Lonchura striata: one gene and its partners. The protein of the gene in region 2 interacts with the protein of the main gene of each other region in a pairwise test. Links are inferred from orthologs where the notes say so. Each region holds a gene or a part of one and is shown on either strand. Other genes may lie near its edges. The genes, in order: UNC45A, MID2, TOP3B and DCX.

What was found.
Region 1: the proteins of MID2 (region 2) and UNC45A interact in binary tests that used the Homo sapiens proteins (3 or more experiments, as listed by UniProt). The two-hybrid records come from large-scale screens. The link is inferred for Lonchura striata from reciprocal best matches to the Homo sapiens genes MID2 and UNC45A.
Region 3: the proteins of MID2 (region 2) and TOP3B interact in binary tests that used the Homo sapiens proteins (3 or more experiments, as listed by UniProt). The two-hybrid records come from large-scale screens. The link is inferred for Lonchura striata from reciprocal best matches to the Homo sapiens genes MID2 and TOP3B.
Region 4: the proteins of MID2 (region 2) and DCX interact in binary tests that used the Homo sapiens proteins (3 or more experiments, as listed by UniProt). The two-hybrid records come from large-scale screens. The link is inferred for Lonchura striata from reciprocal best matches to the Homo sapiens genes MID2 and DCX.

Annotation. Positions count from the first base shown.
Region 1 is NC_134613.1:24,392,325-24,399,644, reverse strand, and holds the start of UNC45A (protein unc-45 homolog A), read left to right. Parts: upstream 1-4,356; 5' UTR 4,357-4,374; coding exon 4,375-4,386; intron 4,387-4,737; coding exon 4,738-4,896; intron 4,897-5,266; coding exon 5,267-5,303; intron 5,304-5,388; coding exon 5,389-5,564; intron 5,565-5,658; coding exon 5,659-5,751; intron 5,752-5,962; coding exon 5,963-6,130; intron 6,131-6,319; coding exon 6,320-6,488; intron 6,489-6,726; coding exon 6,727-6,897; intron 6,898-7,000; coding exon 7,001-7,172; intron 7,173-7,320. Other genes in the region: MAN2A2 (alpha-mannosidase 2x), read left to right, coding at 7-84, 367-561, 651-761, 919-1,071; protein shisa-like-1, read left to right, coding at 3,142-3,440, 3,628-3,764, 4,181-4,356.
Region 2 is NC_134616.1:15,075,837-15,083,412, reverse strand, and holds the start of MID2 (putative E3 ubiquitin-protein ligase MID2), read right to left. Parts: upstream 3,010-7,576; 5' UTR 2,925-3,009; intron 1-2,924. UniProt on the Homo sapiens protein: E3 ubiquitin ligase that plays a role in microtubule stabilization. Mediates the 'Lys-48'-linked polyubiquitination of LRRK2 to drive its localization to microtubules and its proteasomal degradation in neurons.
Region 3 is NC_134620.1:7,281,107-7,288,262, reverse strand, and holds the start of TOP3B (DNA topoisomerase 3-beta-1), read right to left. Parts: upstream 3,006-7,156; 5' UTR 2,925-3,005; coding exon 2,855-2,924; intron 2,194-2,854; coding exon 2,062-2,193; intron 1,844-2,061; coding exon 1,737-1,843; intron 1,321-1,736; coding exon 1,246-1,320; intron 314-1,245; coding exon 117-313; intron 1-116. UniProt on the Homo sapiens protein: Releases the supercoiling and torsional tension of DNA introduced during the DNA replication and transcription by transiently cleaving and rejoining one strand of the DNA duplex.
Region 4 is NC_134616.1:17,687,187-17,694,690, reverse strand, and holds the start of DCX (neuronal migration protein doublecortin), read right to left. Parts: upstream 3,017-7,504; 5' UTR 2,888-3,016; intron 1,420-2,887; exon of another isoform or gene 1,381-1,419; 5' UTR 1,354-1,380; coding exon 990-1,353; intron 1-989. UniProt on the Homo sapiens protein: Microtubule-associated protein required for initial steps of neuronal dispersion and cortex lamination during cerebral cortex development. May act by competing with the putative neuronal protein kinase DCLK1 in binding to a target protein.

The DNA of each region.
Region 1 (7,320 bases), on a different chromosome or scaffold from region 2:
ATCCAGAGCTCCGGCTTCTTTTCCAAACTGATCTCCATGTTTAAAGCCTTGAGCTTCCCTGGCACCAGGACTGGCAGCCGTGAGGTAATGGCCAGCCTGGCCCTGCTGTCTCTCCCTGTCTTGTGCACTAGCTGCTAGCCACTAGTCTAGCCAGGCTTGTAGCAGGTCTGTAGCCTGACCATCAACTAGCTGGGGTCCTGTTTGGGTGCTGGGGCGGGGGGGGCTGCTTGGGCAGGGGCAGCTCTGTGTACACTGTGCTGGCAGGTGCCTGGTCTCAAGGCACTGCTGGAATGGAGGTTCTTTGGGCCTTGCCCAGGCTCTGCCTGGCTTTCTGAGCCCACACTTGACCTATGTGCTGCTTGGCAGGTGCAGGACGAGCGCCCCATCAGCTTCCCCTCCCTGCTGAGCCACATCACCTCTGTGCACCAGAATGCCGAGGCCTTGGTCATGCCAGTGGCATTGGAGAAGCCAGCGCTGCCAGCCCTGCGCTCCTTTGTGCCCCTTGCCACCACCCTTCCTTGCGACTTCCACATCCTCAATCTGCGGATGCTGCAGGCAGAGGTGAGCTAGGGCCCGGGGCGGTGGGACTCTGGTGGGAGTCCTGCCCCTGCTGTCCCCCGTGCTGTGCCTGACGCTCCAGCTCCCTGCAGGATGAATCATTGCCCTCAGCTGAGGCAGCGCTGATCCTGCACCGCAAAGGCTTTGACTGCAGCCTGGAGGCCAAGAACCTGGGCTTCAACTGCACCACCAGCCAGGGCAAGGTAGGGCCAGGCTGCCCCCATACCTCCGCTGGGTCAGAGCTGGGCTGGGACCTCGGCATGGCAGTCATGGCACGTGTCAGGCTGCCTTGGGCACAGTGCTGCCCCAGGCATCACATCCTCATCTAGGCCTCCTCGCTTCTTCCTCCTCTCTCCTCAGCTAGCTCTGGGAGGCCTGTTCCAGGGCTTGGAGCTGGGCTCCCTGCAGCCCACCTCATTGACACTCATGTACCCGCTGGGCACAGCCTCCAACAGCACCAACATCCATCTGGACCCCATGGAAATCGCCACGTTCCGCATCCGCCTGGGGTAGTGTCAAGCAGGAGAGGAGTGGAGTGGCTGGACAGCACAGGAGCAGCACCAGTGCAGCAGTGGAGTGGCTGGCAGTACTGTGACAGGCACGGGCAGGAGGGGCCAGACTGGCACAGGCTGCTGCTGCCACTTCCTAATTTATTAGTTCCATGTTCTCAGATGGATTTTGGACTGACTGCTGTGGCAGGGCTGGACCAGGCGTTGCTGGACGTGGCGCCGGATGGGCTGAGCGTGGCTGGGGAGGGCTGCAGGCTGGGCTCTGCTGCTGCTGGTGGGACAGACACTGCTGCCTGCCACAGGCAGGCTGCCCAGGAGGGCAGCCACCCTGATGGCTGGGGCAGGGGCCCCTGCAGGGCTCCCCCTGCATGGCAGGGCAGCAAGGGGAGGCCAGGAGCACCGGTGGTGTTGGGCAGCTGCCTGAGGAAGTGCTGTGGACTGGGGACTGACCTCTCCTGGAGCTCATAGGAAACACAAGGCTGTTTCCAAGGGCCCTGGTGTTATGTGTGGTTTGTGGCTCTCACTCGAGAGTGGGAATGGTGTGCTGTGGGGAGACAGGGCCTCTGAGGCAGGCAGAGACCAGCTTGAAGGTCTGGCCAGGCACCTGTGAGAGTCTGGTGGCATGGCCAGGCCCAGCTGTGCTTGGAGGCAAGCAGTGCCTGGTGCTGGGCAGGAGCCAGGGGGATGGGAGTCAGTTCCTTGTGCGGGCAGCAGTGCCTGGGTGAAGTGCGGGAGTGCCTCCCCCAAACCCAGAGCCTTTAGCCCCTTTTCAGAGTGAGCCTGGCGGTCCGCTCTGCTGGGGCTGCAGTGGCTGAGTCGCAGGTAATTGCACCATGTCACCAGAGCATCCTCCTGGTTGCTGTGGGAACCACAGGTCATACTTCCTGGCCCCTTGGGGCTACTTACTCCCAACGGCCAGCAGGGAGGGCATTGGGAAGGACTGGGTGAGGTGGGGAACTGCCTCAGCTCTGGCTTGGTTGGGTTGGACTGGATGAGCTTAGAGGTTTTCTCCAACCTAAATGATTCTGTGATTCCACGATTCCTGCACAACCCCCAGCACATCCACATCCCATGGGTTTGGCCCCTGGAAGCTCAGCACCTCACAGCACTTGCCCTGTGCCCTGGCCTGGTGCAGCGCCCTTTCAGGGACTTCCCGGATGGGCCCATGTGCCCAAGTGGGGCCCTGGACACAGCAGCTGGTGCCATGCATCCAGCTGGGAGTGGAGCCTGCTGTCCTGCTCCTGGCCCCAGAAGCTCATTAGTGATGCTCCCGCCCCCAGCCCAGTCCCTGTGGGCAGAGTGAGTGCAGGAAGCTCTAATGGCTCTGAGCGGCTCTTGGTGGAGGCTGCGATGGAGGCGGGAGCAGGAGGGGCTGTGGTTTCTGCCTCCACTGGAGCCAGAACTGCCTCTGCCTAGGGCTGGCTGAGAAGATGCTGGCTGGGCACCTGCTCCAGCTGCTCCTTACCGCGGCTCTGTTCCCCAGCATCCTTGGGACAGGTACAGCCCCATTCCTGCCCCTCCTATTCCCTGAACCCATCCCTGATGGGGCCTTGTCCCTTGAGGGTTGCTCCCCGACAGCCCAGAACAGAGGTTGGGGGTCTGTGCTGGGAGGCAGTGGTCTGCAGTGAGAGGTGGTGGTCCATACTGGGGATGGTGGCTCAGGTGTGGTGGTGCTGGGGCTACTCCTGCTGCAGCACATCTGCGGTGTCCAAGTGCTGTTCCCACAGGGTCACAGGGAGGGGTTGAGCACGGGGGCTGGGGGCTGACCTGATGTCCTGGGCGTTTTCCCCTCCTCTCTGCCACCAGCACCGCCCCTGCCCACGTTTGCCCTTGCCGAGGCCTTGGTGAGCACCGGAGGTCACAGCATACACAGGGCCATGGCACCAGAAGGCAGTGCCAGGGGAGCTCTGCTCCGCCACTGCTGCCTCGTGGGGTGTAGCCTGCTCTGAGGGCCGAGCCAGGTAGCCCTGTGCCAGGTTAGCCAGGCTCCCTGGGGCTGGGGAGCCCTCAGCCCAGGCCAGCCCAGCCCTGCTGGGACTGGGAGTCCCTGCTCTGCTGCATCATGGCAAAGAGCATGTCGCTGGAGCCTGTCCTACAGGCACTGCACAATTCCTGTGTTCTCCTTCCCTGCCCTCTCCAATGCGTGCTCCCCGCTGCAGTCTCGGTGCAGAACCTGCACCTCTGCGAGGGCTACGTGGGCCCTGATGGCCGCTTCCACCCCGGCTTCTACTGCCCGCGGCTGACCGACCCCCCCGGCCACCGCTACTGCTGCCAGCCCAGCCTGGACACTCTAAAGTCCTGCTGCTCTCAAGTGGCCCTGGAAGCCCTCACTGGAGTGAACCTCTCCAGCCTGGCTAGCCCTGGTCTACTCCGGTGAGCAGGGCTGCAAGTGGCCATGCTGTTGAGGATGGGGGGCCCTGGGGACTCCTGGCACACCCCCAGGGGCTTCTCCTGGTTGCTGGGGCAGGGGCTGTGGTATCTTTTGAAGCCCTCAGGGGGCCTCGGATGGCCCTCCCCAGTACCAATGGGGCTGCCCCTCCTGAAGTGCCCCACCCTGCAGGAACCCGCTGGCCCTGCCTTTCGTGGGGCTCTATGGGCTCCTTGTCCTGCTGCTTATGGCCATCGACCTCTGCCACTTCTACTGGACCCGACGGTGCCACCTCGGCCGCCTGCTGCCCCGCGCCTGCCGCGTGCCCCGTGGGCTCCCGCGGGGGCAGCCGGCCGGCGCCCGTCCTTCGCACCGTGTCCCCCGCGGGACGCGCCCCGGCCGGGGCTGCTGAGGGGCGGCCACGGGCAGGGCAGGGCTGTGCGCAGGGGGGACGGCACCCTGGGGGACGGGGGGTCACGCTCATACCGGGGTGCAGCACGGGGGGTTTGGGGGGACACTCGATCTGTGGGGCTAAGTACGAGGTTAAGTACGGGGAAACACTCACACTCCGGGGCTAAGTTCGGGGTTAAGTACGGGGGGACACTCATACTCCGGGGCTAAGTTCGGGGGCTGTACCGGGAATACTCGCACTCCGGGGCTAAGTACGGGGGGGGGGGGGGGGACACTCGGGCTCCGGGGCTAAGTACGGGGTCTGTACCGGGGGATACTCGCTCTCCGGGTGCAGCGTGGCGGGGGATGCGTGGCGGGGACACGCGGGGACACACGCCGGGCTGCCGCCGGTCGGTGCTGGCACCTCCGGGCCGCGGGGCGGCGCTGCAGGCTCGGCCCGCCCGCCTCCGGCCGCGCCCCGTCACGTGGCAGGGGCGGTGGCGTCCGGGTTCCCCAGGCGATCGGCGGTGACGTCACGGGCGTGGCGCGATGGAGGAGCCGGTGAGCAGGGCCGGGCGGGGCCGGGCCCGGGGGTCCCTGTCCCTGGGGGTTCCTGTCCCGGGGGTCCCTGTCCCGGGGGTCCCTGTCCCAGAGGTCCTGTCCCGGGGGTCCCTGTCCCGGGGGTCCCTGTCCCGGGGTCCTGTCCCGGGGGTCCCTGTCCCGGGGGTCCCTGTCCCGGGGTCCTGTCCCGGGGGTCCCTGTCTCCGGGGTCCCTGTCCCGGGGTCCCTGTTCCTGGGGGTTCTTGTCTCCGGGGTCCCTGTCCCGGGGGTCCCGGTGGTGCCTGTCCCGGGGGTCCCTGTCTCGGGTCCGTGCGGGCCCGGGGCTGTGTCCCAGCCGGTGCCCCTCGGCAGGTGACGGCGGAGCAGCTTCGGGCGCGGGGTAACGCGCTGTTCCAGGCGGGGGATCACGGGGCTGCCCTCGCTGCCTACACGGAGGCTTTGAGCCTGAGCGACACCGCGTCCGAGCGCGCCGTGCTGCACCGCAACCGCGCCGCCTGTTACCTGAAGCTGGTGAGCGCGGGCGGCAGCGGCCCTGCGGCCTGCAGGAACCTGCCCGGCTGGCTGGGGCTGTTCTCAGGCAGTCACAGTGTCTCTGATCTCTTGCAGGGAATCTTTGTCTGGGGCAGGGGGTGAACACGAGGAACTTTAGGGGCTTGAGGAGACCAGAAGTGCCTGAAAAGCTCTGGGGGCCGTAGGGCTCCCTGGACACCTTCTGAGGGCTGTACTCTGGGAAAGACAGGGTGGGAAAAACACTGTGCTGGCTCCCTGTCTACAGTAACGCTGTTCTCATCCTGTCCCCAGTCCCCAAAGTTAGGGGTGTAGGCTGTGTGGGGCCTGTGCCAGCAGTGCTCAGGCATTTTTCTCTCCTATCTCTCCACAGGAAGATTACACCAAGGCGGAGGCTGATGCGACTAAAGGTACTGTCCGTGGGGCTGGGGGACCAGTCCCTGAGCTGCCCGTGGGGGCAGGCCCCGGGCTCTGCCACTGACCCCTTGTGCACAGCCATCGAGGCTGACGGCCGGGATGTGAAGGCGCTGTTCCGCCGCAGCCAGGCACTGCAGCATCTGGGCCGCCTGGACCAGGCCATCAGGGACCTGCAGCGCTGCGTCAGCCTGGAGCCCAGGAACAAGGCCTTCCAGGAGGCCCTGCGCACCCTGGGCAGCAGCATGCACGACAAGGTTGGCAGGGAGGACTGGAGGTGCTGGCCCGTTGTGGCTGTGGGCAGCAGGAGAAGCTGGGGAGGACTGAGCCACTCTTTCTGCTCTGTTGCAGATGAAGGCCATGTCCTGCACGGACTCGAAAGTAGAGCAGATGTTCCAGATCTTGCTGGATCTTGAAGAAAAGGATGCGGACAAGAAGCAGAAAGTCTGAGCTCAGGGAGTGGGGCGTAGTGCTGTGGCTGGGAGGAGAGGAGGGGAGGATTGTTGCCCCTGGGCCAGCGGTGGCTGAGTGGTGCTGCCTGGGCTTGCCCTTGCCCCCCTCAGAATGCTCCCCAAGACAGGGCCGGAGGGTGGGTGCCTGCAGCTGCTGGTGCACAACGTGCTGCCATGACCCAGACAGAACTCTCCTTCCCCAGGCTGCGCAGAACTTGATCGTGCTGGCTCGAGAAGAGGCTGGAGCAGAGAAGATCTTCCAGAGTGACGGTGTGCGGCTGCTGATGCAGCTGCTGGACACGGCCAAGGCTGACCTGATGCTGGCAGCCCTGCGCACACTGGTGGGACTGTGCTCCGGCCACCGCTCTCGTGTAGGTCCCACCACACCCTATGGCTGGGCCCAGGGCAAAGCTGGGGAGGCTGCAGAGTGTCAGACAGGGGAGCTCTGAGCTGTTACCTGCCAGGCCTGAACTTGTGAGAGGAAGCCATCCTGATAAGGGGCGGGGAAACGGCCAGGCTTTCCCAAGGCCTCCGGAAGACAGGTGTGCTTGTACCTGCAGACCACAGCCATCTTGGCAGAACTGGGAGCACCCCGTCTTGCAGCGGTGTTGGGAGTGGAGCATGAGCAGGTGTCCCTGGCTGCCTGCAACCTGCTGCACGTGATGTTTGACTCCCTGAAGGAGGGGCTGCAGAAAGACTTCCGCGGGAAGGAGGATGCAGTGGTGCTGGGTGAGTGTGGGCTGCCTTGGCTGGCTGTTGTATGGGGAGAGATGCAGGTAGGTGCAGAGGTGCCATGGGGTTTTTTGCTGCTGCCCTGTCACTGCTCCCTGCAGCAAAGCTGGGCTCTGATGCAGGGTTAACAGGAGGCAGAAGCCCCTGGTCATGGCAGCATCTCTGCCAGCTGTGCTGCAGTGGGGGTGAGGCTGTGCCCAGGGTGCTGACTGCTGGGGACTGTCTTTTTTGGAAGATTCCTCCAGGGACCTGAAATTGCTGATCAAGCACCTCTTGGAGCTGCTAGTGGTGGAAGGGGCCTCAGCACATGGCCGTGACAACGCCCTCAACCTGCTTATCAAGGTGGTGCCCAGGAAGTCACCAAAGGAGACCAACAACAGCCTGAGCCTCTGGGTGATTGATCAGGGTTAGTGGAATGGCTAGCAATGTCCTGCTGGGGCATCGTGCTCCTCTGCCCCAGGTCTGCTCATGCCACTGCGCCCCTCACTGGGCTGTCTGACCTTTTCCAGGCCTGAAGAAGATCCTAGAGGTGGGCAGCACAGTGTGTGGCAGCGCGGGCAGCCTGCCTGTGACAGAGAACAGCCGGATGAGCACCTCTGTTCTGCTGAGCAAACTGTATGAGGACCTGAAGTGTGATGCCGAGAGGGAAAACTTCCACCGTCTGTGTGAGGACTATGTGAGGTGAGCCAGGGTGTCCTGGGAGTGACGGGGGTTTTGTCACCTGCAGCCTGGCAGCACCTGTCAGGGGGTCAAAGCTGACTGGGGACCTGCTGTGGGGGGCGTCAGCAGGTGGGGCAGGAAGAAGCAGGTGGATCATCCTGACCCTTTC
Region 2 (7,576 bases):
GCAGCCCAGTGTTTCCAGTGCTGCGTAGGAACACAGGCAGGCGCCCGGGATCCGAGGGGTGAGATGCTCCCTGCACGCCACTGGAGCCCCCCGCCCTCGCACAGCACAAGGAGCCTTTCAGAGCCACACAGACACAGCATTCTCCCGCAGCTGACCTCCCTGCCCTGGCATTTTTGGGACCCAGGCTCCACAGCAGCCAGCGATGGCGTTGGAGGCAGCAGCCTGAGGCCGGGGGATGCTCCTGGTCAGAGGGGCTGCCAGGGCTGCCCGTTCGTACCAGATGATGGCACTCATTGGCTGCAACACACTCGCTTTCCAGGCAAAGAACACTGAAAACAAGTGAAAGCAGCAACACAGGCTCCCCAAGGCTTTGTCCCTCTCCAGAAGGGAGCTCAGGGGAGCAGCCACCCTCCCCTTGCAATGAGGGGAGCACCAGCCTCAGAGGGGTTTCGATCAGGTTAAGGTGGGTTTGTTACAGAAGGTGTTTGTAATCAGCAGCAGAACTCCTTCCAGACGAACAAAGTAATCACACTGCTCATCAGCTTCCTTTAGTGAACCAGACAGTTCTGGTTCCAGCATCTCTGATGGGACAGCCTTGGTCTCTCCAGAGACCAGTCTTCAGGATGCTCCAACGCCCTTAAAGCCAGGGGTTGACCCAAGAGCTAAAAGGCTCAAGGCACCCCTCCACACGACAGAAGCCACAGCTGATAGCTCAGGAACCCACAGAGAGCCCAGGTGAGTCGCAGCGTGGGTTTAGAAACACCTATCCATCCCTAGAGGGGACGGAGCAGGAGACAACAAAATCTTGGCTTTAAAAGTAAGTCATTTATCCATCTCACATGGTCCCAGGGCCAATCCCACTCTGCTCACAAACAGGCACACACACCGACACACACCTCAGAGGCCAGCACAGCTCACCCGGTGCACGCTTTGCAAGGCAGGGATTTATCACCCACTGCAGCTCCATTTCTTTTGCAAAGCAGCACTTCCAAAGCAGGCAGGACGTGGGCTGTGCACAGGCACGGCCTCGCAGCCGCCATGGAAGGCTGCACAGGGCACAGACCCAGCTCGGATCGCAGCAGCCGGCACATCCAGGGCTCTGCAGCCACCTGCCTGAACCGAGACAGCTGCTGCTGTCCTTGGCATCAATTCATCCTTCCTGCTTGTAGTGCTATTGCACTTACTGTCTTTTCCCAGGAGTGTCCTCAGGGAACATCCCCTCGGTTCGAGGGTATTCCAGCACTGCTGCCTGGGCCAGCCTCCCTCCTTCCCTCCGTACTGTGGCCAGTTTTACTACCCCTTGTTCAGGGGCACAAGCCAAGCCTCGAGTGTGCTCCTTGATGGCAAAATGCAGCAGAGACAAGCTCAGCACAGAGCCCCTGACACCCGGAGGAGCGGAAGCAGCTCTGCACAGCCCCTCCAGCACAGACTGAGGGTCACTGCCCGCTGCAGCCGGGGTACAGGAGGGAAGGGCACTGCAGAAGGGTCTGAGAGCAACTCGAGCCTACACTCAATGCCCCCCCGGCAGGTCGGTGACATCTCCCATATCTGCCCGACACTGCCCGATGATGCCCCCCTGCCACCCGGGAGCCAGCAGCGCCCTGCGCTCCGCCACGCACCGCTGCCAGCTCCCACCCGGCTGCGGCAGCTCCTCCGGCAGAGCCGGTCTCCTTGAAGCCGCCTTCCGACAACAAAAGCCGAGCCGAAACCTCCGGGCTGGCTGGGGAGACCTGGGCGGCAGCCAGGAAGGGCAGGAGCCATTAACGCCGGCGTGTCCGGACTTGAGGGAATGACGGAGCAAGCAGAGCCATCTGCCCTCGCCGGAAACTCCGCAGACCGCTGGGCAGAGCGGCCCTTCACCGCGCTCCAGCCGTGCTCTAGCCCTCGCCAGCTGCGCGCATCGGGGCAATAAACCTGCGGCTGGGATGTTTTTTTGAGGCAAAATAGAAAAATAAAGCACGAGAACGAGGTGTCACTTGGGCGCGTATTCCAGCAGCCGCACAGATCCTCGGCGCAAGCAAACACACTCGGCTGCCGGCTCAGCGCTGACACCCCAAAGCGCGGGCAGTACCCCGGGAACGTCTCCCGACCCCCGGTGTCCCGGGGGGCAGCGCTGGCAGACCTCCCACACGTGGCCGTGTCTCTCCTCTGCGGCTTCCGAAGCGCCGGTCTCGGAGCCCGCTAGCGATTAAGTTCCATGGCCCTGGAGTTCAGCAGATCCCAGCCGCGCTGGGGGAAGGGGAGCGGGGGGGGCCCGGGAGGATCGGGGCAGCACCGGCCCCGCACCGGCTCTGCGGCAGCGACGACAGCCCGGCACCACAAACCGGCGGAGCTGGAGCGCGGGCACGGGGCTGGGCGGCGAGAGGGATACGACACTGTCCACCGAAAAACCCGTGGCGAGGGGGAAGGCGGGGGCATGACGGGGTGGGCGCGGGATCCCCAAAGCCGCGGGCGGGGAGCCGGGAGCCGGCGAGTTCGTATCCGCTCCGCCCGGAACGCGCCGCCGCTCCCCAGCAGGACGGCCCTGGGCGAACCGGGGCACCGGGAAGGCCGCGGGAAGCGCCGGGCGGGGACAGGCCACCCGGTCTCCCCGCCGAGCGGCGGAAGGTGCCGGAGCGGGCTGGCAGACGCACTCGGCGACGGGGAGAGGCGACCGGGAGCGGGGGGAGCCCGCGGCGGCTCCCGGGAAGGGCGGCAGTCCGCCGCCCAGGCACTCGCTGCAAACCCGCGGGAAGGGCCGCGCCGCGGCCCCGACGACCGGCTCGGTGCTTCCTCCCGCCCCGGTACCTACCAAGTGGATCGCGGCATTCCCTCCCCGACTCGGTGCCGCCTCCCGCCCCGATGCCGGTACCTACCGGCGGCCCGCGGGAGCCCCCCCGGCCCGCCCCGGCGCGCCCGCCCGCCCCGGTGCCGCCGGTACGTACCGGGGGCCCGCGGGAGCCTCCCTGCCGCTGCCCGGGCATCTTGGAGGCGCGGGGACACGGCGGCGGCGGCGGCGCGCGCGGGGCGGGCGGGGCGGGGCCGGTGCGAGCGCGCGGCCCCGCCCCCCGGCCCCGCCCCGCCGCAGGTGAGGCCGCGGCGCCGGGAGCGCGCACGGGCCCGGCGGGAGCGCGCGGGGCGGGGGCACTGCCGTGGGACAGCGTGTGACCCGTGGGGATAGCGTGTGCCCCGGGGGGACTGCCCGTGGGGACAGCGAGTGCCCCGTGGGGACAGCAAGTGCCCTGTAGGGACTGCCCGTGGGGACAGCGTGTGCCCCGTGGGGACACTGCGTGCCCCGTGGGGACTGCCCCTGGGGACAGTGTGTGCCCCGTGGGGACAACATGTGCCCCGTGGGGACAGCGTATGCCCCATGGGGACTGCCCATGGGGAAAACGAGTGCCCCGTGGGGACAGTGCGTGCCCTGTAGGGACTGCCCCTGGGGACAGCGTGTGCCCCGTGGGGACTGCCCGTGGGGACAGCGAGTGCCCCGTGGGGACAGCAAGTGCCCTGTAGGGACTGCCCGTGGGGACAGCGTGTGCCCCGTGGGGACTGCCCGTGGGGACAGTGTGTGACCCGTGGGGACAGCATCTGCCCCATGGGGACACTGCGTGCCCCTCAATGTGTGCCCCATGGGGACAGTGAATGCCCCGTGGGGACAGTGCGTGCCCCTGTGTGGTCGGGGCAGTGCGTGTTCCGTGGGCTGGGGACACTGTGTGCTCCATGGCATCGGGCACTGTGTGTGTGCTCCCTCAGGCGGGGGACAGTGAATGTTCCTGTAGGGTGGGGGACACTCCCACCCTAGCATCGGGGACACTCTGTGCTCCTGCGGGCTTCGGGGCAGCGTGTGTCCCTGGGAGATGTGGGGAACTGCGTGTTCCATGCGATGGATGGCACCGTATGTCCGTGTGTTTATGGTGAGATTTGGTACCTTGACAGCCTTGGGTCTTTCAACACATTTATTTTTTTCAAAGTGAAAAATGAGTTAAATGGGCTTTTCACCACCTGATTCAGCATCACAAAGGGACGTCCCACCCAGCGTTCTCCATACAGCAAACCAGCTCTGGGTGAGGTTGGATTGTTGCGTGCAAAGTGCATATATATATATATATATATGTATCCACAGCAATAACATCAAAGGGAAACATGGGAGGGGGAACCCAGAACTGTAATTTATTCCTTGGTAATATGGGGACATGTGGCACAGGTTATTTATATTTGAAGGCTGCCCTGAGTGTAAAATGAGCCGTCTTTTAAAAATAAACATGAGGGAAAATACACCCAAGCTCCTGGTGTGTCTGAAGGTGAGGCCAAGCTGCTGGCAGGTGCTGGAGGAGGTGCTGTGAGCCGGGAGCAGCAGGAGCCTCCTGCGTGCCCTGAGCGCCTTCATCCCTGCACACACACACAGAGGAATGGTGGTTGTTGGTCCAGGTGGACACTGAGCACACAGCAGCTGTCCTGCGGTGGCTCTCAGTGAGACAGGACAGATACAAGGCCACTGAGCAGCCAAGGCTGCCACCACCACCATGGCTGGCCTGGTTCTCACCTGGTTCACTGTGCAGAGGGATCACAAATGCTTGCTTCCAGCAGGGTCTGACAACAGGGGGGTTAATATGCACCATGTTGTTTGCATTATAAACCCCATCTCTGATTTTCTAGCAGCGAAAGCACAGCACAGGCAGCTGTGGCCAAATCACAGACTCTAGAGCTGTCCTGGGACCAGCCTTTGTCTCTGTACCTGTGCAGAGCAATGTGAGGTGAATGAACAGCCTGACCAGGGCCCCATCCTCTGACCCTTGGACAGGCAGGAAATTAAAGCCACTTTTCCAAATTTAGAGCCACCAGTAGCCCACAGCAGGTAGCCATGGGTGGGTTCAGGCTCTGAGCAGAGCTGGGGCTGTGGCTGAGCAACAGCAGAGATGTGCAGCCCCCAGACATGGCACATTAGGCTGCAGGGAACTGAGACCAGTGAAAACGAGCAGATGGCTGGAGGTCACAACAGCGTCCCACCACCAAGGGTCTCTGGGTGACAACCTGACTGCCCAGCACTCACTGCAGTGCTGGAGTGCAGATACCAGTGGCAGCTCAGCTCTGATCTCCAAGAGCCTCAGCCTTCCTCCCACAGCAGGGACACAAAGCCCAGGTGTGTGGTGGCCAGCTCCACAGTGTGCCCATGTCCCTCTAGCTCCAGTGCCAGCCTCACCGCAGAATGAGCAGGGCCAGGGAGCACAAGGGCCAGGAGCAGCTGCAGGGGTGGCACAGCAGAGATCAGTCTCAGTGTCTCCTCTGCACCCTGGGAGCCAGCTCGTGGGGCTGGAGCAGCTGCTGGGATGCCACAGTGGAGATCAGCCTCTGTGCCTCCCCTGCTCTGCAGGATCTGGCTGTTGCTGGCACTCCCAAGCTGAGGGGCTGTGGTGGATGTGCACAGCTGTGGCTCCAGCTGCTGAACAGACCCAATGCCAAGGCCCAGAGTGGGCTGGCACCCACCAGACCATAGCTCAGAGACACAGTATGTTTAAGTCCCTCAGTTTTCCTCATGGATCACTGCAGATGCCAGCCTCCCTCGAGGCGTGATGGGCACTGGATTAGCTGGGATCCTGCATTAATCGGCAGAGTGGCAGAGGTGACCTTGGGCAAATATTTACAATTACTGTGGTGTCATGTCTGTGCATGTACTCAAAACACAGAAGGGGTAGGGTTCAAATGGCACTTTAATGAGCTGCAGGGCAGCAGGAGGGTAGAGTTCCTCACGCTGATGTGCTGAGCAGTCCAGGGTGGGGAGATCATCTCCATCTGCCCACAAAGGCGTGTCAGTGTCGGAGTGGCGAGTGCTCAGCAGCCCTTCTAGGATCTGTGCATTTTGAACAAGGGACCATCTCGGTTTCTGCATCACACGGCTGTGAGCATGTTGCTTGGAGTCGGGGAATTGGGATTTTCCTGCCCAAGGCTGCTCTGCACTCACATCCACATTGCACAGACAGGAATGGAAACACTCGAGTTGTGCCGTGTGCCTGGGATGCCGATTGACTAAATAACACTAGGTTATAAAGCAGGGTTCCCCCTTGAAAATTTGTGCTTCTAGTGGAAAGCGCAGAGGAAAAAAATCCTTTGAAGTTCTGCATCCCTCTTCCCACTCCTTCTGAAGAGCAGGCAGCCAGTGTGGAGACGAGCAGGGCTTGATGGATGAATTACCCCAGAAGAATTTCTTCTCGATTCTTTCCTACATTTTGATGATTTCATTTCTGCAGCTCTCATTAGCACCTCCTTTATCCCCAGTTCTTCCCCAAAGGCATTCTGCTCTCGCTCCCTCCTGCTGCGGAGGGAGCGGCAGAGCAGGGATAGCAGTGGATGCTGTGCACCACCTCATGTTGAGGCCTGGAATTTCAGAGCCTGAGACGAGCTCCAGCTCTCTCCCATGGCGAGGGAGGTGGAGTACTCATCTGCCCCAGAATTTACTCTGCTGGATAAGAGCGATGCCTCATCTTCACACAAGGGCTCAGTGGCAGTGTTAAGACCTTTGTTAAGGCCCCGTGGTCTGACAGACCTGCCAAAGCCCCAGCAGGCAGATGAGCTTCCCCACAGGCTCTCAGGGCTGATTATTGAAGAGGAAATCTGTTTTCCCAAGTCTGCACTTTTCTGCATTCAGACCAACCCTGTATGCTCCCCCAATCCAGTACAGCTCTTTCAGAAGGCTCACAGGATTTTTGTGTCACCCTGTTTGTGAGCAATCCCCCACTCTGCCTCCCCTCCCCAGGACCCTCAAGAGGGAAAGGAGGCAGGCTTTAACAGGTGAGAACGATCCAGCCAGGTTTTCAGCCATCTCCTGCACATCTCTGTACTGCCAATGCCATTTCCACTCCCTCATGCTGGAGCTCAGCAGCAGATTTGCTCACAAAGTCCTGTTGTGCCAAGGAAAAGGCTCCTGAGTTCCTCAGATCAGGCAGAGGGATGAGATGCTGGCTGTACTTTTCCCTGGCATCCTTGGGCTGTGGGTCCCCGCTGTCACATATTCATGTTGGAAAAACAGGCCTGGTGCTTGCGGAGCTCAGGGGTCAGTGTTACACCGCTGTAATTCTGCATTCTGCACAACATCCCACGTGCAGAGCCAGCTGTGCTGGCCTGAGCTGCACCAGCCCGAGGATGGGAGAGGGGCCCAAGCCCCTCCAGCCTGGCACCCAAGTGTCGTGGTGGGCAGAGGTGATGGAGTGCCATAACCTTCCCAAAGCAGTGTCTTTAAAAATGTGTTCTGGGTGCACAAGTGAGTGATTTCAGCCATGAGCAACGCAGAAGGAAGGGACAGAGTCTTTGTATGGGGTGACACAGAGGGTCTCTATTGAGCTCCTACCACAAAGGGGTCCAGGCACCCAGAACTTGCTTGGGCAGAGAGAGCAGGGGTTTGTACAGAGATTAGTGAGGGGCAGGGCAGAACATCAGAATATTGTAAACGCAGGTGAACCCAATGGGAAGAAATGACGATGTCTGACTCAATTCAAAAGGCTGAAAGATTTCTTTATTATAACTATGCTAAAATACATTAATATACTATATAAAAAGGAAGACAGTAAAACTACATACCACTTTCTCTATCTCTAACACAACT
Region 3 (7,156 bases), on a different chromosome or scaffold from region 2:
AAAGTAGGGGCGGGGAGGCAGTGAGTGGCTGTGTGGGGTTTGGCTGGCATTAAACCATGAGGGCACAGAGCCCCTCTTGAACCTTTGACAAAACTGTCTGCAGTCTGTGCTGTCACCTTGTGAAGGCACAGCCAATCCTCAGATCCAGCTCCTGGCGAGCATCCACGGACAGAGCTTCGTTGCGATTGGGCTCTCCCAAGTGATTCATGGCATTGCAGATGTCTGTGTCGGTGATGGAGCTGAATTTAGCTCTGTAAATCGTCCTCTCCGTGCCACGAGGCTTGTTCATGACAGGAAGAACAGCATCAAGAACCTAAAGAAAATCAGAAGTGTACTTAAAAAGGATTTGAAAGATAAAGGCTTTCTCTCTAAAGATAAAAAAAAAACATTCTCCACAAAATATTTGTTTCTGTGTCACTGCTTTCTTATTTCAGCAAGATGTCATGCTCACACATTAACTGATAAGCCAGAGCAGTATTTGTCCATCCACTCAAAAGCATATAAAGAATTAACAAAACTGAAGGGATTATCTACTATACAGCAACTGCTGGGAGCAAATCAGTATTTTTGGCTAAGGGCAAAGACATTCAGCAGTGCAGCTGCAGCAGCTTTTGGTGAACATGTACCAATGTCTATCTGGGTTTATTCTACTCATTGCTAAGCACAAGTAATGACACAGGGGTAAGAAAGGAACTTACAATAATCACTTCATAAAACATGTTTCTTTAATCTAAAGAAAATCTCCAAACAAGTACTCTTCATGTAGGCTTCTGGGAATTGGATGTTAAAAAAAATCTTAGCAAAGTTTTTGTTCTATGTGTTCTCTGCTTTTTATGTGCAGAAGCAAAATTTAAGCAGCATGATTATACTTGCAAGCAGCTTCTGTGCTCCAAGGAATCTAATTGCTTAATAAACAAAAGATAACAGATGAAGTTTTATAAGGACATAAAAATAACTTCTCCAGCTGTGAAATACAGGCCAATTATTGAAGTACTGGAATGTTCTAACATTTAAGAGGCCTGATTCTTCATCTGAGATGAGCAACACCTCTGAAATTTATTTATACTCTTTAACTGACATCTTACAGAGTTAAAAGCATGTGGGCTTTTCCACCAAGGCCCTCTATGCCTTTAAAACTTTATTCAAGTTTAGTTTGAATTTTACTGTACACTCATAAAACAATGCATTGATAGTCTTGTCAGACATATATTATGGTGTTGTGAGTCTTAAAAATTGAAACCTTACTTCAAAACAGATGTTTTCTCCTTCCTTATCACAATCCAACCACAAGACAATACAATCACAGCCTCTTCCCTCCACCTGTGAGAAAAATCAGCACAGTTCTTCAGCAACTCAAAACAACATCTCCCCCCTCCCTACCCATATATTTTTTTCCTGGTTTCAGCATGGTGTGTGAAGTGTGAACAGTAACCAACACAGACTTATTTTAAAGAAGGCATTTATAAGCTGTGCTTACACTTGCTGTTATAAAGTTAAACTTGCATCCAGTGCTCCAACTCTCAGAAGCAGAATATCAACTGTCAAAAAACTCAGAAGGCAATGGGAAAAGTGACTTTAACATAGATTTTAGACAGCGCAAGAATCAGCAAAAATAAATTATTTATATTATGTTAATAAAATAGATCTAACTGTGACAAAAAGCTACTCCCTGGAAGAATTTTTATTTAGGCACATAGAAAATGCTAACTTTAAATTCTACTCCTAAGAAAGAATACCTGTAAAAATTTCACCATGGTCAGTTTGGGATTAGCTTCTTTCTTTTCTGTGGGAGCTTTACTAAAAAGTTCTGCTGGATCCACTTTGTCCCAGCTGTTATATTTTCCTGAAAAGCAAAAGTATATAAAATGGAGCTCTGAAGAAATATTTATAAAACAAACAGCTTCACATTGCAAAACACTTGGCTTTCAAAATTTATGTGGAAAATTTTCTACACTAACAGATCTTGCTTTACTGTATACCAAGAAACCTCTTCGTTTTTCTGAAGGACCTGGCAGCTCTACAAGCCATATTAGTTAAAACATTTGACGAGCAGGCAAATACCTATGAAATCCAAAGTCATGACGTGACCACACACCGATGTCATCTTGAAGTGGGCGCTCTGTCCTATGAAGGACCCGGTGTACTCGTGCACAGAGCACGCACCGTTGAGTCCCTTGCGAGAGGACATGTTCCCTGTGAAAATAAGATCATAAATATTAATGAGGTAGAAAAAACCCCAGCTAGTGAAACAAATAGTTTTGTGTGAAATTAAATCTTCCTTTCCTTAGATCTTACAGCTACGGTCTTTCTGATCATTGATCCTTTCTGATAATTGATGAGAAAGATCTACTCATTGATAAAACTTTCATTTCAGTAAGTATCAATTCAGGGCTTTCCTAAAGGATATTTTATCTTCAAATTAAACTATCCATTATCTCCACCAGCCTTTCCCTCCCACCATGAAACCTTACGAAAATACAGCTAGTTTTCTAGAACACACACTTATAATAACTTTATTTTCCATATTTATAAAACTTTTACTTCACAGATCTCAGAACAGCCACTGCCTACTTGATCGGCACTTTCCAGACACCGCATGCTCTAAGGCAAAATACTGAAACTAGATTCCTTTATTCTTGGATTAAACAGGCATCAGCCCATAGAAACAATCAGAACGTGATGGGACATCCCGTTCTTTGATGAACCTCTCCGAAGCCAGCGCTGCCAGGGGGCTCCGGCCCCAAGACAAGGCAGCCGCTGCCCAGGGTGCCTGTGCAAAGCCGGCAGCTCGCACTCACCGCCGCGCTCCGGCCGGGCCGGCCCCGCGGCGGGCACGGGCACCCGCCCCGCCTACCTCTGGAGAGGATCTTGGCGATGGACTGCGCCAGCGACGGCTTCTCCGCCACCATCAGCACGGTCCTCATCTTCGCCGCCGCGGCGCGGAGCCGCGGGCACGGCCCGGCGGAGCCGGGGAGGGACGGAGCGCCGCTCAGCCCGCCCGCGCCGGGCCACGGCGGCACCGCGGGCACGGGCACGGGCGCACCGCGCCCCGAGCGCCCGGCACAGCGCCCCGCCGAGCGGCCTCCGCGGGCGGCCCGCCGCGTCACTGCCGGTCACGGCGCCGGAAGGCGCGGGCGGCTCCCAACCGCCGCGGCGGCGCGCAAGGCGCGGGACACAGACGTGCGCCGGGGCTAGGGCGGACACACGGACACACAGAGACACGGACACACAGAGACACGGACACACAGAGACACGGACATACACACACGGACACACAGAGACACGGACACACAGAGACACGGACATACACACACGGACACACAGAGACACGGACACACAGAGACACGGACACACAGAGACACGGACACACAGAGACACGGACACACAGAGACACGGACATACACACACGGACACATGTGCGGACACACGGACACACAGAGACACGGACACACAGAGACACGGACATACACACACGGACACATGTGCGGACACACGGACACGTGCGGACACACGGACACACAGAGACACGGACACACAGAGACACGGACACACAGAGACACGGACATACACACATGGACACACAGAGACACGGACATACAGAGACACGGACACACAGAGACACGGACACATGTGCGGACACACAGACATACACACACGGACACACAGAGACACGGACACACAGAGACACGGACATACACACACGGGCACACAGAGACACGGACATACACACACGGACACATGTGCGGACACAGACATACACACACGGACACACAGAGACACGGACACACAGAGACACGGACATACAGAGACACGGACATACACACACGGACACACAGAGACACGGACACACAGAGACACAGACACACAGAGACACGGACATACACACACGGACACATGTGCGGACACACGGACACACAGAGACACGGACACACAGAGACACGGACACACACACACGGACACACAGAGACACGGACACATGTGCGGACACACAGACATACACACACGGAGACATGTGCGGACACACGGACACACAGAGACAGACACGGACAGACAGAGACACGGACACACAGAGACACGGACACACAGAGACACGGACACACACACACGGACACACAGAGACACGGACACACAGAGACACGGACATACACACACGGACACACAGAGACACGGACACACAGAGACACGGACATACACACACGGACACACAGAGACACGGACACATGTGCGGACACACAGACATACACACACGGACACACAGAGACACGGACATACACACACGGACACACAGAGACACGGACACACAGAGACACGGACACACAGAGACACGGACACACAGAGACACGGACATACACACACGGACACATGTGCGGACACACGGACACACAGAGACACGGACACACAGAGACACGGACACACAGAGACACGGACATACACACACGGACACACAGAGACACGGACACATGTGCGGACACACAGACATACACACACGGAGACATGTGCAGACACACGGACACACAGAGACAGACACGGACACACAGAGACACGGACACACAGAGACACGGACATACACACACGGACACACAGAGACACGGACACATGTGCGGACACACAGACATACATGCACGGAGACATGTGCGGACACACGGACACACAGAGACAGACACAGACACACAGAGACACGGACACACAGAGACACGGACATACACACACGGACATATGTGCGGACACACGGACACATGTGCGGACACACGGACACACAGAGACACGGACATACACACACGGAGACACAGACACACAGACATACACACACGGACACATGTGCGGACACACAGACATACACACACGGACACATGTGCGGACACACGGACACACAGAGACACGGACATACACACACGGACACATGTGCGGACACACGGACACACAGAGACACGGACATACACACACGGACACATGTGCAGACACACAGAGACACGGACACACAGAGACACGGACATACACACATGGAGACACAGAGACACAGACATACACACACGGACATGTGCAGACACACAGACATACACAGAGGCTTGTGCGGACATATGGACACACAGAGACACAGACATACACACACGGAGACATGTGCGGACACACGGACACGCACAGAGACACAGACATACATACACAGAGACACACACACACAGAAACGTGTGGACACACACAGACATACACACACAGACATACACAGGCACATATGCGGTTACAAGGACACACAGAGAGACAGACACAGACAGACACACAGACACATACGTACGCACAGGCGTGGATACACACACATTTACACATATAAACTCACCCACACATATACACACTCATACAGAGACATATACAGGTATACACGGACATATACACACATACATAGATGTACATGCAGAGACACATACACACACATATAAGCACTCACAGACATACAAATATATACATATATATATATATATACATATATATATATATATACACACGCATTCTCTCACACTCAGACCCCCCGGGGCTGGCGCCCCCCGCTGCAGCGCCCCCTGGCGGCTCAGGGCGGCGCGACCCCCGCGCTCCCGGCGGCGGGGCCGGGCCGGGCCGGGCTGGGCGCGGCCGCCGCTCGGGTCACTCGCAGGGACACCGGCACAGGGGCACCGGCACAGGGACACCGGCACAGGGACACCGGCACAACGCACCGCCTCCCCTTCCTGCCGAAGCCCGTGGGGAAGCTGTGCCGCGGGAACCGCCGGTGCCGTGCCGCATGGTGTGCAGATGCCCCCTTCCTTCATCCACACCGGTGCACAGAACGTGTATCACCCAACCCCTCTAAGGGAACACACACACAAGTTGTATCTGCTGTGTTCGAGCGACACGGACCGCTGTGCCTGTGCCAGTCTGTCACTCAGGTTACAGTTCCTGCAGACCCGAAACGCTACAAACAGTGTCGGACACTGACAGCATCTCCTTTAACACAGATAAATTCACCTTAGGACTCTTAAGAGCACCTGCTTCCCTTGCACCCTGATTAGATCATGGAAACAATATTGAGTGATTCTTGAAAAAGTGTATTTTTTTTGCACATTAGATTTTAGATTAACGTTGATGTCTCATTTAAGCAGAAATACAAAAAAGAGAAAAAACAGTGGGAAGAGAAGGGTCAGGCTGGGCAGAAGCACACCCTTCCCTCGTGCCTCCTTTCCCCAGGGAGAAGGCAAGGGCTCCCCCGGGGGATTTTGCCCCTGAAAGCTGCAGCTCCTTTCTCCAAGTCATGGAGGGACTCTTTGCTCTGTCCTGTTTCCCAGGGATGCTGGGCCCTGTTAAGGAGATTTGGTCAGTGGACTGAAGCTGTTTCTAACCTTTCCTGCATCTTTCAGCTCTTCCACACATCCTGAAATCTGTCTAGGGAAGAGATAAAGAGGGAAGCCCCAGGTTGATGGGTTTTTATAAGCACTTTGTGGAAAGAGCTCAGCTCTCTATTTTTACCCCCGTGGTTGTGCATCGATCGTTGCCAATGTTTATAGCACTTTTCCCAGAGCTGCTCAGTACCATAAAAACCCAAAGAGAAGAGATTGGGAAGCAGCCAGGATCAGGATGTATATCAACCTCATGCTGGCTGAAATAAAAAGGAACTAATTCACCTTCAATTTGATTAGTAGACAATTAATAGACACTGAAGTTGTTAGCGAAAGGAAAAATCAAAACAAGCCCAGGCCTTTTAATTCTTTGGCAATATTAAAGTTCGAACATATTAAAACAAATGTGTTCTTCTCTTTCAATGCCTGGTTCCCTTTGACATCTGGGGAACATCTGGAACAATCAGGATGCGAGTTAAAACCAAGTCTTCAGATATGTCAGATACATATTTTTTAATTTCCTCTGGTAAAAGCCCTCTACAAAATCCAACCTTCCTTTTTTCTTTGAATGCTCAACGAAACATGAAATTTCAACTTGCGTTCACCCGGGAAAGCACAGCCGGGACTCTCCCCCACGTGGCCGAGGGACTCCGGACACTCTGAGTCCCCGTGTACCCCGGGCTGGTACAGATGCGTGTGGCTGTTCCTGGGGCCACACAGGGGCTGCCCCGGCCCGAAGGGATCCCGCTGCCGGACACCCACGAGCCCTGCGGGGCCACCGAGTCACGGAGTCT
Region 4 (7,504 bases), about 2.6 Mb from region 2:
GGGAGCGGACACACGGACACGGCTGGGAGCGGACACACGGACACGGCCACGAGCTGGACACACGGACACGGCCGGGAGTGGACACACGGACACGGCCGGGAGCTGGACACAGAAACGCAGCTGGACACACGGACACAGCCAGGAGCGGACACAGGGACACAGCCGGACAGATGGACACAGCCAGGAGCGGACACAGCCAGGAGCGGACACAGCCGGACAGACGGACACAGCCGGACAGACGGACACAGCCGGGAGCGGACACAGGGACACAGCCGGACAGACGGACACAGCCGGACAGACGGACACAGCCGGGAGCGGACACACGGACACAGCCGGACAGACGGACACAGCCAGGAGCGGACACAGGGACACAGCCGGACAGACGGACACAGCCGGACAGACGGACACAGCCAGGAGCGGACACAGCCGGACAGACGGACACAGCCGGGAGCGGACACAGCCGGGAGCGGACACAGCCGGACAGACGGACACAGCCGGACAGACGGACACAGCCAGGAGCGGACAAAGCCGGACAGACGGACACAGCCGGACACACGGACACAGCCAGGAGCGGACACAGGGACACAGCCGGACAGACGGACACAGCCAGGAGCGGACACACAGACACAGCCGGACACACGGACACAGCCGGACACACGGACACAGCCAGGAGCGGACACAGGGACACAGCCGGACAGACGGACACAGCCAGGAGCGGACACAGCCGGACACACGGACACAGCCAGGAGCGGACACAGCCAGGAGCGGACACAGCCAGGAGCGGACACACCCGGACAGACGGACACAGCCGGGAGCGGACACAGCCCTCCGGCCCCACGCCCGCACCGCGCGGGGACCCGGCGGGCGCGGCAGCCGCCCCGCCACCCTCCCGGCGGGGCACAGCGGGGCTCGGCACCCCCAGAGCCGGGGCAAGGGGACCCTGGGGGCACCGAGCGGTGCAGCCCCCTCCTGCCCATCCCTCTCCTCACCTTCCTCCAGCTCGTCCATGCTGCCGATCTTCCGCGAGCCGTCGATGGTGTAAATGTAGCGCACTCCCTGAGGCAGGTTAATGTTGTCGGACAGGGACCGGGTCAGGTCCGCCAGGAGGGCGTCAAAACTTCGGAAGCGGTCGGAGGACACGGCGTATACAATCCCCTTGAAGTAGCGGTCCCCGTTGCGATAGAAACGAACCTTCTTGGCTTTCTTCTCGTTGCTCAGCGCCTGTAAGGTCCGGGTTCTGTAGAAGCTACAGTGAGCGCTGTGAGTGGGGCTGGGCAAGCCGTTCATCCGTGTGCCTCGCATGTTTCTGGACGCCTTGTCTCTTTCGTCAAAGTGTCCAAAATCAAGTTCCATAGTTTGGTGAACCCTAAAGATCTGAAGCTGGGCAGGAAGGAGATGGGGAGAGAAGGGGGGCAAAGGGATGGGTTAGAGCCCAGCAGAGCCACAATCCGGAGAGCAGAACGACGCTAAGGCTGTGTCTGGAGCAGGACGGATGCATTTGGGAAGCGCCCCCTCCCCTGACCCAGATTTGTATCGATTCTGGGGACCGAGAGTAGGAGGGGTCCTCGCATTTTGAAAGGGATCCAACTACTGGGGGCAGGGAACACGTTTCTAGAGAGCTGCCTGCTCCTGCACCTGGGAGTTTTCAAAGTGCAGCAAATTGGGACTTGGGGCCAAAGGCATGCATGGCAATCACAACTCAGCCCCCAAAAAACCTCATCCAAACACCAGTTGGCAATGAATTAAACCTCTGAGCCCTATGAGGTTTCCTTTGGCAACAGAAAACAAGGAGATCCCAGTAAGTCAGCCCTTCAATCTGTCGAATCACGGAAGGACCCAGAGCATCTGAATGTTTAACATTAGAATAAACTGGCATTTATGAAAGAATGGTCACAGGGGAATAAGCAGTTTCTTTGTGACAGCCTGTTCAATAAGGGTTAGCAATGAGATCCAGCCCACCCTTCCCCCTATCCGCAGCCCCCTCCTAGCCCATCAATCAATTCCCAGGACCAGCCTACATCTCTAAGAAGAAATGACTGCAAAGAAAAATCTGTCATTGAAACGCAGCTTCGGTAAGCTCTTTTCAGCCCGAGCCTCCTCTGAATTGCATTTTTGCTCCCGTTTAATGAGGAGGAGAAAATAAAGGGGCTATTTCCACCCCCCGCTTCCAGCCCTAAGTGATTTAATAGCTGGAAGTGCCCGTGCCCCAGGGACACGCCGCCCCTGCTCCTCACCTTTCATTGTTCTGAGCGCGGGGGCTTCCAGCACAGAAAAGCCGAGGCTGGAGCTGACACCCAGCGAGCAGGAATTTTGCACTGTCTCTAGTTTATGCTCGAGAACAACCTTTCCCCTGCACCAAACCCCAACACAAAAGGAGAAGGAACCCCCCCAACTCTGCAGTCGAGACCCTTCCACTCCCCCGGCTCCACCAGGCACATGCACCTCATGTATGTGGTTCTCATGTTAGCACAGGGCTGAAAGGGGATTTACAGCACTTGGCAGCCAGGTATAAATCCAGGAAAAGCTGTTGCTATCGCATCCCCGCCCTTTACACTCGGCAGAATGAAGCTCCTTCCCTGTATTTTACAATGTCAGCGTGACCCATGCAAGAAAAAATCATTGTCCCCAGGCTGCAGCGAGGCAGATGACAATGCAGGCATTCCACACAGAAACCCCAAGTTGGGAACGTTCCCCCCACGATGCCAGCTGGGGTAGATTCAGTCTGGTGTCATGCACTGAACAATGAAACATCCAAGCAACTTCGGGAATGAATCAGAGGATGCAGGGGTTTTGATTTTAAAATGAACTGCAGATGCTGTAAGGCACCAAGAAAAGATTCCTCCTGTTACTTTTCTGCATGCAAGTCATTCAGGAAAGCTCTACTCACCGGTTTTCAGCGTGCAGGGTGGAGATGCTCAGAGAAAGAAAACCAGGCTCACTCTGCCTTTGTTGTCTGAGCTCCAAGCAAGAAATTCCTGCCAGGGTGGATGAGACGCCTCCTAGGTCCTAGTGCCTTGTTCCATCCCTTCACGGTAACTTTGCCTCAGTGATTTTCACTCTCACCATCAGCTGCCTGCTCACAGGCTGTGTTTGAGGGGGAAACAGGGGGCTGATTCCAGCTCTGGATATGTCAACAAATCAGTAAACAAAAGGTTAGAGGGGCAGGTTTGGGGGTGGTGTTTGGAAGGATGCAAATTTTCCCTTGAATCCAGTTGTACCAAGAAATCGTCTGATCCAAATGAAAAATACAGAATTAGGAAAAAAACACTGGATAATTGCCCCAATTCTACAGGGGGGTCGCAGTCACAATCCCACAGTGTGGCACAGAGCTGGCACAAGACTCCTGGGTATTAGGAAGGCAACTGAAAAAATCTCTGACCAGTGGAACTGGGCACAGTCCTGCTCCTGTGCTGGTTTTACACAGCATCTGTGGTTTACACTGGCAAGCAGAAAGGGAGAATTCACTTGGTGGTTCTGCATGAGGTGCCCCTGAATATTTTTTCTCTGTTAACATTGGACACAAGCCAAAGCCAGAGCGCTGAATCCCAGTTCATTCAAATCCCCAGGGGCTTTGGGATGGAGTCATCCAGCACAAGCCAAACCCTGCAGATCCAGCATTGCTCATATCCCACAGTAAGAGGAGTTTATCTTCTGATTCCATTACAGGAGGAGCCAGCTGTTAAAAAATTGTACTGAGCTCTTTCACTTTGACAGCAAAATCTTTCACCTGCTTTCTGGGTGGAGATTTCTATGCTGCAGCACCACTAACCCTGCTCCTAACCCCACTGATACTGGCCTCATCTTTACGTTAGAAAATAATGGGATTTGGAAATGGGAGAGTTTTCCCATCTGTAGAAGGAAATCTTTCCTAACAACACTGCGTCTGTTTCGAGTGAAAACATCAGATGTTGTCATTTTGGCACATCACAGCAGTATCACATTTAAACAGAAGGAGTTAGTATTTATTCCAGCTTTGTCTGCCCTGTGCATGATAGTCCAGGCAACACTGACACAAACCCACTGAGAGTTGGTCTCTGATTGCCAGCAACTTTCACACATGACATTTGTAAAAAGTTTCTTATTCCCTGAAACTAGCTTTTTATTCAAAGGCTCCCACGCATCCTCTGCTGGAGCTTTTGGCTGCTCCCTTGTGTGCGTGGTCAGATCACTGCAGAGGAGACAGAGCTGCTCTCCCCCCTCAGGAATTAGCCCTGGAGAGGAAGAACAGGGTCTGTCCTCTCCAGGGTATCTTTCAGTGGGTCTCTGGATGCAGTTGCAAGGGGTTATGTGGGACTTCAAACCTTGTCCTTCCCATTTGGTCCTATATTCTTAATTAGATAATTCCTGGCTGTTCATCACTAGGAGCTTAATCTGTCCAGAATTAACAATTCTTTCCTTTAACACAACACTTCTGTAAATATAAATCTGCCAGTGCTTTAAAATTTTGCCAAAAATATAAATCATTCAGCATGTGCCAAGTACAGCAGCAGCAAGAATAGAGAAAAGGAGAGTCTTCATTCAGCCTTCAGTGGCACAAGAGCTTTGACAGAGAAGAGGAAATTTTTGGGATGATGGCTCAGGATCCAGGTACTACACCAATGTAACCAGGCAGGATGATGTAGACACAGGTAGAATTGTACCACAATGTGTCAGTCTCCCAAATTTGACTTGTATGGGAAGTTTTGAGGACAACAAAGGGTGTCAAGCATCATTAACACATGGCTCTTCTTTCTGCATCCCAGCCCAGAGCTGCTGTGAGAGGAGCGTGTCTGTGTCTGCTCAGGACAGGGACAGGAGCTTTCTGAAGCACAGGCACTTCCTTTGCAAGGCACTTTAACAGAATTACTCCAACAAGAGAACTGGAATTTGTCCCTGGCTGAAGGATAAGGTTTCTACAGCAAATCATGGTAAGGTTCCTCTTGGGTGAAACCTTGAGTTCCTCCCAAACCATGCCCAAAACACCTCCAGTGTGTCCTCCTTTAATCCTCCACAAGATCAGGAGGATCTCACAAGCCAGAGCACCACCAGAGGTGAAGAGCCCTGGAGCCAGACTGATTTCAAATGTCCTCAGTGAAATCACACCATATTTGCTTCTCTCCAAGTGAGAACAGAATCACCTCAGACCACAGACATCAGCACAGAAATAAGCAGCACCTCCTTGAGGAAAGCAAGGGTCTGCTCCTGACTTCAGTTCTTCCTCAGAGCTTCTTCCTTGGCCTTAAGCAGTTAATGCCAGTCAAAACATATTTATATCAGAAGAGACTCACCCTCTGAGACATCATAGTCTAAACAATTTTAGGCAGTGTGAGGGATTGAGAATTGGTAAGGAAATTCCACTTCCCATCAATAATTTCATCTGGCTGCAAAGGAAAGATAAATTTAGCTCTTCAGATTAAATTATCTACTTTAAATCAGGTGAATCATCTTTCCTCCAGGAAGGTAATATTTAGACTTTTTCCTGTGTAAATAAATCCGTATAAATACATGTTTGTTGACATTGCTGAGCAACTGTGACACTTTGGAAAGGGACAGACTGCAGGTGACAGGGGTTGTGTGAATGCTGTGTGCTAATTTCTTCACATACACCTAGAAAATCCAGTTCCTAGCATCACTAGGAGCTGCAGTCTCAGATACTCTATGTCAGTGCCCTGTTGCTTTGCTATGCAACTTCCTGACTTCTGTAAAAATTGCCTCTGATAGCACAGCACATTTTCTGAAGAAGATAAAAGTTGGGGTGATAAGCAGCCAAGGTCTGGCTGTACCACAGGATCACAGAAAAATCAAGGGATCACTGGGTTAGAAGGAAGCCTTGGATCAACATCTCCAAGTCAGTCTATTTAGAAGCACGTGTTTAGTTACATTTCTTACTTTAACCTCTGTGGTTCTGGACAATTTGGAAATTGTCATCCCTGACCACTGCTGTCAGAGCTCTGCTCAATGTAACTTAAACACCAAAACTCTCTGAAACCACAAGTTGTTATTGCAGGGGTCTGACAAGTGTGTCAAGGCACTCACAGCTGAAATCCCATCAAGTCAATGGCTCAGTCTTGACCCTATAGAGCAACATCCTTTAAATCTGAACCTTCAAAAGAGTGAGAGTTCATCAAAGAGTTACCCTACATCAGGCTATGGAGCTAAGTTCCTCCTACAGAATACTACGAGCTAATAAGCAATGGGGACTTGGCAGACTTTCACCACATAACATTTGTCTCCTTTGGAGATTTATTTTTATAGGGACCACACACATCTGAAAGTCTTTTAAATACCAAAGCTGGAGAGCCAAAGTCAGCCCAGCCACTGGGGAGAGAAGGGTGGAGGGTCACCTGCAGAGCAGTTCCCCCTCTGCAAGCCCAGGAAACATCTGCAGGGGCTGCTCAGACCTTGAGGCTGAAGGACTGAGCACCACTGGAACCTCCAGGGAGGAGCAGGGAAAGAATTTTCAGTGTGAGGAAGGAGGAGAAGGGTGGAAGAAGCTGCTGAGCTCTGAGGCCACCTCAGTGTGGGACTGCTCAGGAGTGGCCACAGCAGCAGTGTCCCCCGGGTGGGACCTGCCACTGCTCCACACCCCACAGGCTGTGCTGAGCCAGGGCATGGCAGCCCCACAGCGTGGCAGATGCCCTCAGCCTCAGCAGGTGACTTTAGCTTTGGGTATTTCTGAAATCTGGGAGCCAGGGGCCTTTGCATCCTCTGAGGGACCATCAGGAAGCAGGCTGAAAGGGAAAAGGCCATTTTCTGTGCTGAGTATCTGGCAACTCTGCAGCTCAATGAACTCAAGACATTCCAAACACATCCAGATACAGCAAAGCATTAAACCCCACAAAAGTCATCCAAGAGAAAAATACCTTCAGCACTAGATCTCTTCTGGCTCAATCCCCTCCCTTCTACAACAAGCCACCACAATTAATAAATCTTTCCCAGCTGAAAATAAATTCCCTGACAGCAGGAAGTGAAGCACCCCACCCCAGCACACCCCCTGTGTATTTTGAATGAACTCTGCCAGAGCTAGCAAGTTCCACAATCCAGCTTCTCAGTGGCAACGTTTTGCCTTAAAATCAAAGTGCAAATCTTGCAGAAATCCATGGCTATGCCTGTACCCAGGAGTGTGCAGAACCCCTCTGAGCTTGTCAGTACATTAGTGCTGACCAAATTACGTATTATGCATGGTCTGTGAGCCCCAGCCAAGGTCATGACAAATGGATCAGCAAAACATCCAAAAAACATCCAAATTCTCCTTTTTCCAAGGTGGTCCAAGGGCTGCATCATAGTAGTTAGGAGACTTGTGACCAAGAATTTAATAATTTCTTGATAATTTCATTTTATAGAGTAATTGTAACTGAACACCTGATTGCCAGCCTCTCTCAAAATGTCTGCTGAGTGTAAAACTGGCTTGAAGGACTTTCCTGATGGAATTCTAAGTGATAGAAAGGAAAATCCCATCAAAGCCATCACAGAGGATCATGTCACATTCAAGCTGGAAGTGCAAGATGTTTCCTCTCAAACACAG